2 linked regions of the Neodiprion lecontei genome follow. The protein of the gene in region 1 purifies or fractionates together with the protein of each later gene. This does not show direct contact. Links are inferred from orthologs where the notes say so. Each region holds a gene or a part of one and is shown on either strand. Other genes may lie near its edges.

Region 1 (3,755 bases):
CATAATATTCATCAGAAATGGAGCTGAAAATGTAAAAATTCTGGATATTCAGAGAGGTATGCTGAAGAAATGTATATTTCAAATTAAATTATTACATTAGCAATAAGAGATTTTAGTGCAACGGATATGTATGATACTCTGTTTTCCTTGTGGTTGAAATGAAAGAATATAAATTTTCTTTGCTCTCCCAAGCATGGTTGATTTCCAATGTACATGATGTAGTGCAGAGAAAAAAAGTGATAAGTTTCAAGTAAAATAGCGTACCCTAATTTAGTTCGTAGAGCGATTTTGCCGTTCTCTACACCAAACAATTTCACATGAATTTTCCTTTCGATAAGATAGGTGACCAGCGCTTGGGTAACGTTACTTCCATCACTTGTCCGATATCTGACAATATGAAATGTCCTAATTTTTGCATCACGATCATCAACTTGAAGATTCTGCGAATTGTTTCAGAAAATTGTTAATCCATGATGAGCCGGTATTAAGAGAACAAAAACTGATTGAGAATTTTTCTGGAACACATACTGTTTTTTTTATTATCAGACCCTTGTAGCAGTTCCAATATATCAGTTCACCGACGTCTGAGCAAGCTAAAACTACATCTCTGTTGTCAGGGTGCGAAGATATTCCTGCGATCTTGTGTTCAATTCCTTCAAATTCTCTGACCAGATCTCCGGTCCTAGTGCTGTAGGCTCTAATTGAATGCTTCCAAACGACAAATAATAACCTAAAGAATTAAATTTGAGGTTAGATAATCATCCATCAAAGTATCAGAGGCATAGGTTTATGTTTGACTTACTCTCCATCATGGGAAAATAACGGACGGTGATCGATTATGCTTCCGCCGCCGATCCTTTTCACGGTCAAGTCATTTTCCTCCTGCGGTTTTTTCTTCGGAGTACCCGATTTCGGCCCAGTCGATCGCTTCATTCGCATGTTTGACACTGTCGTTACACTGATTGTGAGTATAAGGTTAGATTAAAGCAAGTTTCTCACACTGAATAACGGTAATCTCTTAATTTCTCCCGTAGTATTCGGTTCCTTCATTAATCCTACAATTGTTACATACATTCTTATTTAAAATTCACCACGTGCCGAACTACGTTAACCGGAATGCTAGGTTGGATTAGGCCGGAATTACACCACGGCGACATCGATGTTTGACAGAAATCCGAGTCCGTTATTGGTTGATACGCCAACGCATCGCTGCAATTTCTTGTCGCTGAAATAAAATTTCGGCTTTAAGTTGAGATAGGTTAGGTTCTTAGAGCATATACGTACTACTGGACGTAGCCGCCCATGCCGTCACATCGTGAAAATTGCAGTCGAAGTGATAAGAGAGCGAGGTATATACCCGGGCATACTGGTTATAGCCTGTCTCTCTCACTCCGCATCTGATTGGCTGAAAGGAAGCGTATCTGCCAATCAAATGTAGAGCGAGAGAGACAAGCTGTGACGAGGGTATCCTCACTCCTCCTACGCATTTTCTGTACATGATAGTTGTATGTTACAAGGTTAAGTTAGATCGAAATTGTTGGTTGACAATAGGAACGGAGCGGCTTTAACTTAATAATCATTTCATCAGTTATTTCACAGTTTCAATAGCATACCGTCGCGATGGCAAGTGTCGATGACGACGTTCCGCAAATCCAAATACGCTTCACCACGAAACAAGAACAGTGAGTATATAAAAATATGAGTATGAACACACGTTTTGCTCAGTCAGGTTTTTGATGTGAAAGCTAAACACGTGGAACAAACGGCTGTCGGCTGTACTGCAGACTCTTGTAAACTGGATATAGAAATTTGATACTTTTAAAACAATGCCAATATAAATTTCACTGTTTTGTATCTACACAAATTCGATTTTCAGGTACGCTGTTCCAGACTATCCATTGTCTGTGCCATCAACAGTTTTCACTGATCAACTGAATACTATACTCAATGAACTTTTAAGAGGTGAGATTTCCTGAACTTTGGAAAAGCTCGTATCTGTTGTAGAAATATTGTACTGCAAATCTGATTCATTAACAAATGTTATACAGAATCTGCAGACTCCACTGCAACTGTAGAGTTTGATTTTCTTGTCTGCAATGAGTTCCTGCGCACCTCGTTAGCCGAGCATATCAATGAGCGTGGAGTAACGACTGAGGAAGTCGTTTCAGTCGAGTATGTGGAGCGGCATCCTCCTCCGGAACCCCAAGACTGTCTCATACACGATGACTGGGTGTCAGCAGTTGCTGTAAGAGAGAACTGGCAAGTGTTTTCAATTTTTACATCAACGTTTTCAAAATTACAGACTTTTTGGCTAGGGAAATTTACTCACACATAACAAAGCAGTAGTAATTTGCTACTTTTTCCACCAATTACAGGATACTGACGGGATGTTACGACAATACCGTGCACATCTGGAATACGAAAGGAAAACATCACCTCACAATTCCAGGACACACATCGCCCATTAAAGCAGTGGCTTGGATAACATTAGACAATGAGAGGGCGACGTTTGTTAGGTACTATAAGCGAAGTACACAACGTTCATGTTATCGCTACAAATCTACTTGCAATAAATTAATGAGATATAATACAATAACACATTAATCTCTTGCTCCTTGCAGTGCATCGCAAGACCAAACTGCCATTTTATGGGATTGGAACATCAGAAGTAACTCAATAGAATGCGTTCAAATTTGTCGTGGACATGAACGCGGGCTGGAAGACATTGCAGTCAATCATAATGCCACACTGATCGCCACGGGATCATGGGATACAATGCTGAAGATTTGGTCCACCTGTAAGTTCGAAGAGGTGCATTCTGAACGAGAGTTATTTGATGAATTAACTTAGGGCTTTGAACTGAACAATATTTGCAACTGATCTTGTACATCTTTTTAATACGATTAATAATCACATAAATCAAACTCTTTCTTACAGCTGTCGACGATCGAAACAATGACGGTGAGTCTGCCTCAAAGAAGCTGAAAACAGATCATGGTAAAGTTAGAGTGAGTATCTGTATGGCAAATTTGATTATGTTCACTATATGATTGAGAATAAAAAATACAGTAAAACTTACCAGGCCAGTTTTTTTTTATCAACAATATAATTCGGGCAATTTCAGACGCCAGAAATAACGATGAAAGGCCACAAAGAGGCAATTAGTGGTGTAGTCTGGTCAGATAAATCTGAAATAGTAACGTCGTCATGGGATCACACGCTAAAAATTTGGGATACAGAACTTGGTGGAATCAAGCATGAAATTCCAGGGAATAAGAGCTTCTTTGATGTTGCATATTCGCCGTTAGCTAACGCTCTCCTCACCGCCTCAGCCGACAGGCATATCAGATTATACGACCCAAGATCGTCAGGTGAGGATGAAATCTATGCCACGTAGTAAAATCACTCGGATATTCATGATCGTTGATGTTTGCTAACGTTGGCATTATATTTTTTTTTTTTTCAGAGGGATCAGTGGTCAAGGGAACTTTCACTTCACACACGCAATGGGTGCAGTCTGTCTTCTGGTCAACGACTGATCAATACCTTTTTCTGTCTGGAGCATACGATAACCAGGTGAAGCTTTGGGATACTCGAAGGTTTGTGCATAAAGTCTCTACACATTCTTAGACATGATTAATAAACGTGAACTTCATTTTATGTGGTGTCGATATTACCTTTCCCATTCTTCTTACAGTCCCAAAGCACCGTTATTTGATCTTTCTGGACACGATGACAAAGTTCTCTGCTGCAAC
Region 2 (3,755 bases), on another chromosome or scaffold:
CAATGTGGCAACTTACCGCGACAAATAAAAATGGTCTAATGGGATGGAACAAAACACATTGTACTAGTCCCTTGGACTTGCTGAATGGCAATTGCGAACGCCTCTTTGACAACTGATTTATTAGAACAGATCTGTTCTGCCCATCGGGCATAACGGTGGCTAGATAGTCACCCCTCGCATGCCAAGTCACCTGCTTCACAACTTTAAAGTGATTCAATATTACTCTGATACCATTTCGCCAATTTTCACCTTCGGCCTGTTCCCACTGAACTGCCGTCCTTACCCTCTCATTCACTGAAATACAAGTAAAAAGAATTTAGTACATTGGAAAGTAGTTTCCTGGATTCAGTTACAGTCACATATGCTAACAAATTTATTACCTATTACATCGCTTTGAGGTATGATTTCTAGAAGCTGGTCCGTTTTGCTTGTGATTAAGTGGTCCCCTACTCCAGGGTTGATTAACAAAACTTTCTGATCTGCAGCAACGGCTATCAGCGAAATTGCTTGATTTGGACACCATGCAACACTTCTTATAATGCCTCCACAAGGAACGGTCTTCACACATCTACCAGTTGCAATTTCCCATACTGAAAACATGTTCACTCATTCATTAATTCGCAGTTTTAATTTTTTTCCTTAATCTTTAATTACAATCGACCTACAATGAAAAAGTTTCGACAAAACAACTCACTTTTAAGCGTCATATCATCTCCGCCAGAAGCGATATACTGGCCTTTAGCTTCGGCAGTGAAGGATCTTATCATGTCAGTGTGCCCCTTAAAGACCATTGACATAGTAGTGGGAAATGGTTGTAAATCTTGAGGACTAGGTAGCTGTGGAACCAAGCTGGCTGGGTCAATGGTAAGCCTCATTTTCAAAGCCCTTGGACAAAGATACAAGTCCAAACATCTCTGAAACCGCTCTTTGATATATCTTGAATAAGCCGGGACTTCACGAAGTGAATTAAACTTCTGTGGAATGAAGTGAAGCTTCCTTTTCCATGGCGTGGACTTCAGCTTATTCCATTCCTTCATTTCTTTTTTGTCAAAGAGATACTCTGGCGGAGGATTATAGCTCTCTGCGTGACCAGGCAAATGCCTCTTTGGCGCCGGTATGTGCTTGTGAATCCTCCGCATCTCCTCAGCCTGATCGTCTGACTGCCACAGCATGTAAAAATCTTTGTTTTCCTTGTTCTTCTGTTTTTCCTTCTCCATTTCGACTGTTGACTTTATCCAACCCATTTTCAGAGCATGAACTAGCTTGGAAACTTTCTTTGCTTCCGACTTTGAAGGCAAGAATGATCGTTTGTGCTCCGGAAATTTACGCAATGGCGTTTTCATCACTTCGGACGTGAACCACTCGACCCAAGGCTGTAAAAGTAATGGGAAAATAAAGTTTCAAAACAAATTTCAGAGATATGTTGAAAGTATTAAATAGAATCTGGTAAGGAACAAATAACTTACTGTGTACTCGTCAAATTGAGCATCAGGTATCTTTTGCTTCTGGATTCTTGTTATGAGCTCTATGTCAGCTTCGCTGAGTACTACATCTTGTCCCGTCATGGGGTCTTTCACAGTTCTCCAAAAATCTGGATCCTCCATTCTCTTCAAAAAGTTATCCAGCTGATCTCCTTTCTCTGGTTTTAAAATTTTTTTACCGTCCCAGTCGTACCCGATGTGAGGATACTCGTTGTACCATTGCAAGGGGATATTCCCAATGGTATTTCGAATATCTTCTTCATCCGAACTGTCTTGTTCATATTCGTCGACATTACTAGTCAGTTTTTCAACTGCTGGGTCGCTTGTATTGCGACCACTATTCACAATACTTGATTTATTCTGTTTTACACCATAATCCAAATTTTTCTCACTATGATCGCTTAGTTTTACCACTTTTTTATTCACATTTCTAGCTGGCTTGTTACTTCCATTGCTTTCCTTATTAGACTTTACCAAAGATTTGTTATTTGTTTTAGGCTGCCGAACTTCTTCCTCTGACTGCTCGTTTCCAGATTCTGAACTGAATTTGTCTTTGGAATTGACAGACCCGTCACTCTCTGCTTCCGAATCTTCTTCGTCCTCCTCTTCTTCATTCACAGAATCATCATCCTTCTCGTACTCTTCAGAGTCAGATTCAAATTCTAGTTCCTCATCATCGTTATCAGAGCCAAAAACAATTGGATCATTCTCAGTATCAGAATCGACAACATCATTATTTCCTTCGACTTCGTCGTCTGTGCTGTCATCGTCCTCGTCGAGTTGATCGGTGGCTAGAAAATCCTCCGATCCTAAATCCTGGATACACGGAGTGTTATGTAGTGTACAATAAATTGCCAAAGAGAACCAGTGATGACAATAGATTTTTGCGTTACGATTACTGCTTCAATTTTTTATTGAAGCTCAAAGCTGACCCAACTCAACCTAACCTAGGATGTTTAATACATATTTAAATGATTCGATTATCTGTCTTACCGAATTCTCGTCCAAGTCGTCATCGTCTTCAAGTTCTTCGACATTCTCTACCCTTTCTTCTTCTTTATTTGATTTGTTCGGAATGATTGGGTCCTGCTTTCGCTTACCTGCCTTTTTCGGGGCACCCATCACTAGGCAGTGGCAAGTTGGAAGACAGCCGCTTTGGACAACCGCGTTGTTTTTTGAGGTTAGGTAGGACACGTGTTTGGCTTTTGCACTTCGATAGTTCGACTTGCGATACGCAAACTTTCCGCAATCGATATCTCGATTTACATTTCAAACCAGCAGACGCACGGATGCAGATACTTTAAAGCACGCTAAAGTTTAAGCTCTCACCCTACTCATCTCTGCTCTCACTTTAGAGAGTTTCATAAGTATGCTACTAATTTTTTCAACTTCTGAGAAATTGTTAAAATTTCTGAATCAATCTCTGCAGAGTTTTGCGGAATCAAACAAGGATGATGTTACGGGGTAGAATGCGTAGGCTCCGATGAGCGGTAATCGGAGCTTACTCCACGCCCAGCCAAGGTGTTCTTTGGCTATTATAGGGTCCGTTCACATCGACTATGCACTCGCGTGCTACTACTCCCAATGCAGGAAGCGAATGGAATAGAAAGGGATCGGTATTAAGGGAAGGTAAACGATTATAAGTATATGATTGTTTATTAGTAGTCAATGCAACGGAGTCGGTCGAGGGAAAAAGGTATGGTCTTGGTTTAGAGGGATAGGTGTCTTGCTTGAGCGCTAGGATGGATCTGCCTTGTTTTGCGGGATGTAGGAGGCAAGCTAGCCGCGAGTTACAGAAGAATCTGCTGACTCGCGGACGATAAGAGTAGACTACAGAGCGTAAGGTAACTAAGAGTGTGGGAAAGGAATATGAAGTCTGGGGGACGTAACAAGGATATCCAATCTTAATTTATTCTTACAATGTATATTGTTTCTGTTATACAATATAATAATTGAAATGTGTTAAATTGGATGTACTTTAAAACGTCTACCGCTCGACAGGCTACTAATATATTTCTCGTGAAAATCTTCGGCAGGTAATTAGAGCTGTTTACAATAAGGCCGTAAATCCTGCGCCCGAGTTGTAAACATTAGTTTTTCATGCGGTGGGTGGAAAATGCCCCACGAGATTACATAGAACTATGGAGAGAAAAAAAAACGCTATTTCATAAAACCCAATAACATAAAAATGATATTGAAGCATAGAATTGGGTGTGAGAGGGGTCAAGGGGCAAAATTCCCGCCAGGAAGTTGGGGCTAGAGTCTTCCCACTGA

Evidence for each region. Proteins that work in one complex are often made in the same cells at the same time.
Region 2: the proteins of ribosome biogenesis protein WDR12 homolog (region 1) and ribosome biogenesis protein BOP1 homolog purify together in Homo sapiens (affinity purification with western blotting; 6 studies listed by BioGRID and IntAct, with this or other methods). This does not show direct contact. The link is inferred for Neodiprion lecontei from reciprocal best matches to the Homo sapiens genes WDR12 and BOP1.

What each region holds. Positions count from the first base shown.
Region 1 is NC_060264.1:3,893,024-3,896,778, forward strand, and holds the start of ribosome biogenesis protein WDR12 homolog, read left to right. Parts: upstream 1-1,490; 5' UTR 1,491-1,620; coding exon 1,621-1,682; intron 1,683-1,876; coding exon 1,877-1,962; intron 1,963-2,048; coding exon 2,049-2,259; intron 2,260-2,375; coding exon 2,376-2,516; intron 2,517-2,621; coding exon 2,622-2,797; intron 2,798-2,937; coding exon 2,938-3,008; intron 3,009-3,124; coding exon 3,125-3,371; intron 3,372-3,466; coding exon 3,467-3,599; intron 3,600-3,697; coding exon 3,698-3,755. Other genes in the region: WD repeat-containing protein 75, read right to left, coding at 1-23, 265-440, 529-730, 803-939.
Region 2 is NC_060260.1:39,239,181-39,242,935, forward strand, and holds the start of ribosome biogenesis protein BOP1 homolog, read right to left. Parts: upstream 2,813-3,755; 5' UTR 2,604-2,812; coding exon 2,475-2,603; intron 2,298-2,474; coding exon 1,467-2,297; intron 1,374-1,466; coding exon 695-1,373; intron 591-694; coding exon 381-590; intron 295-380; coding exon 17-294; intron 1-16. UniProt on the Homo sapiens protein: Component of the PeBoW complex, which is required for maturation of 28S and 5.8S ribosomal RNAs and formation of the 60S ribosome.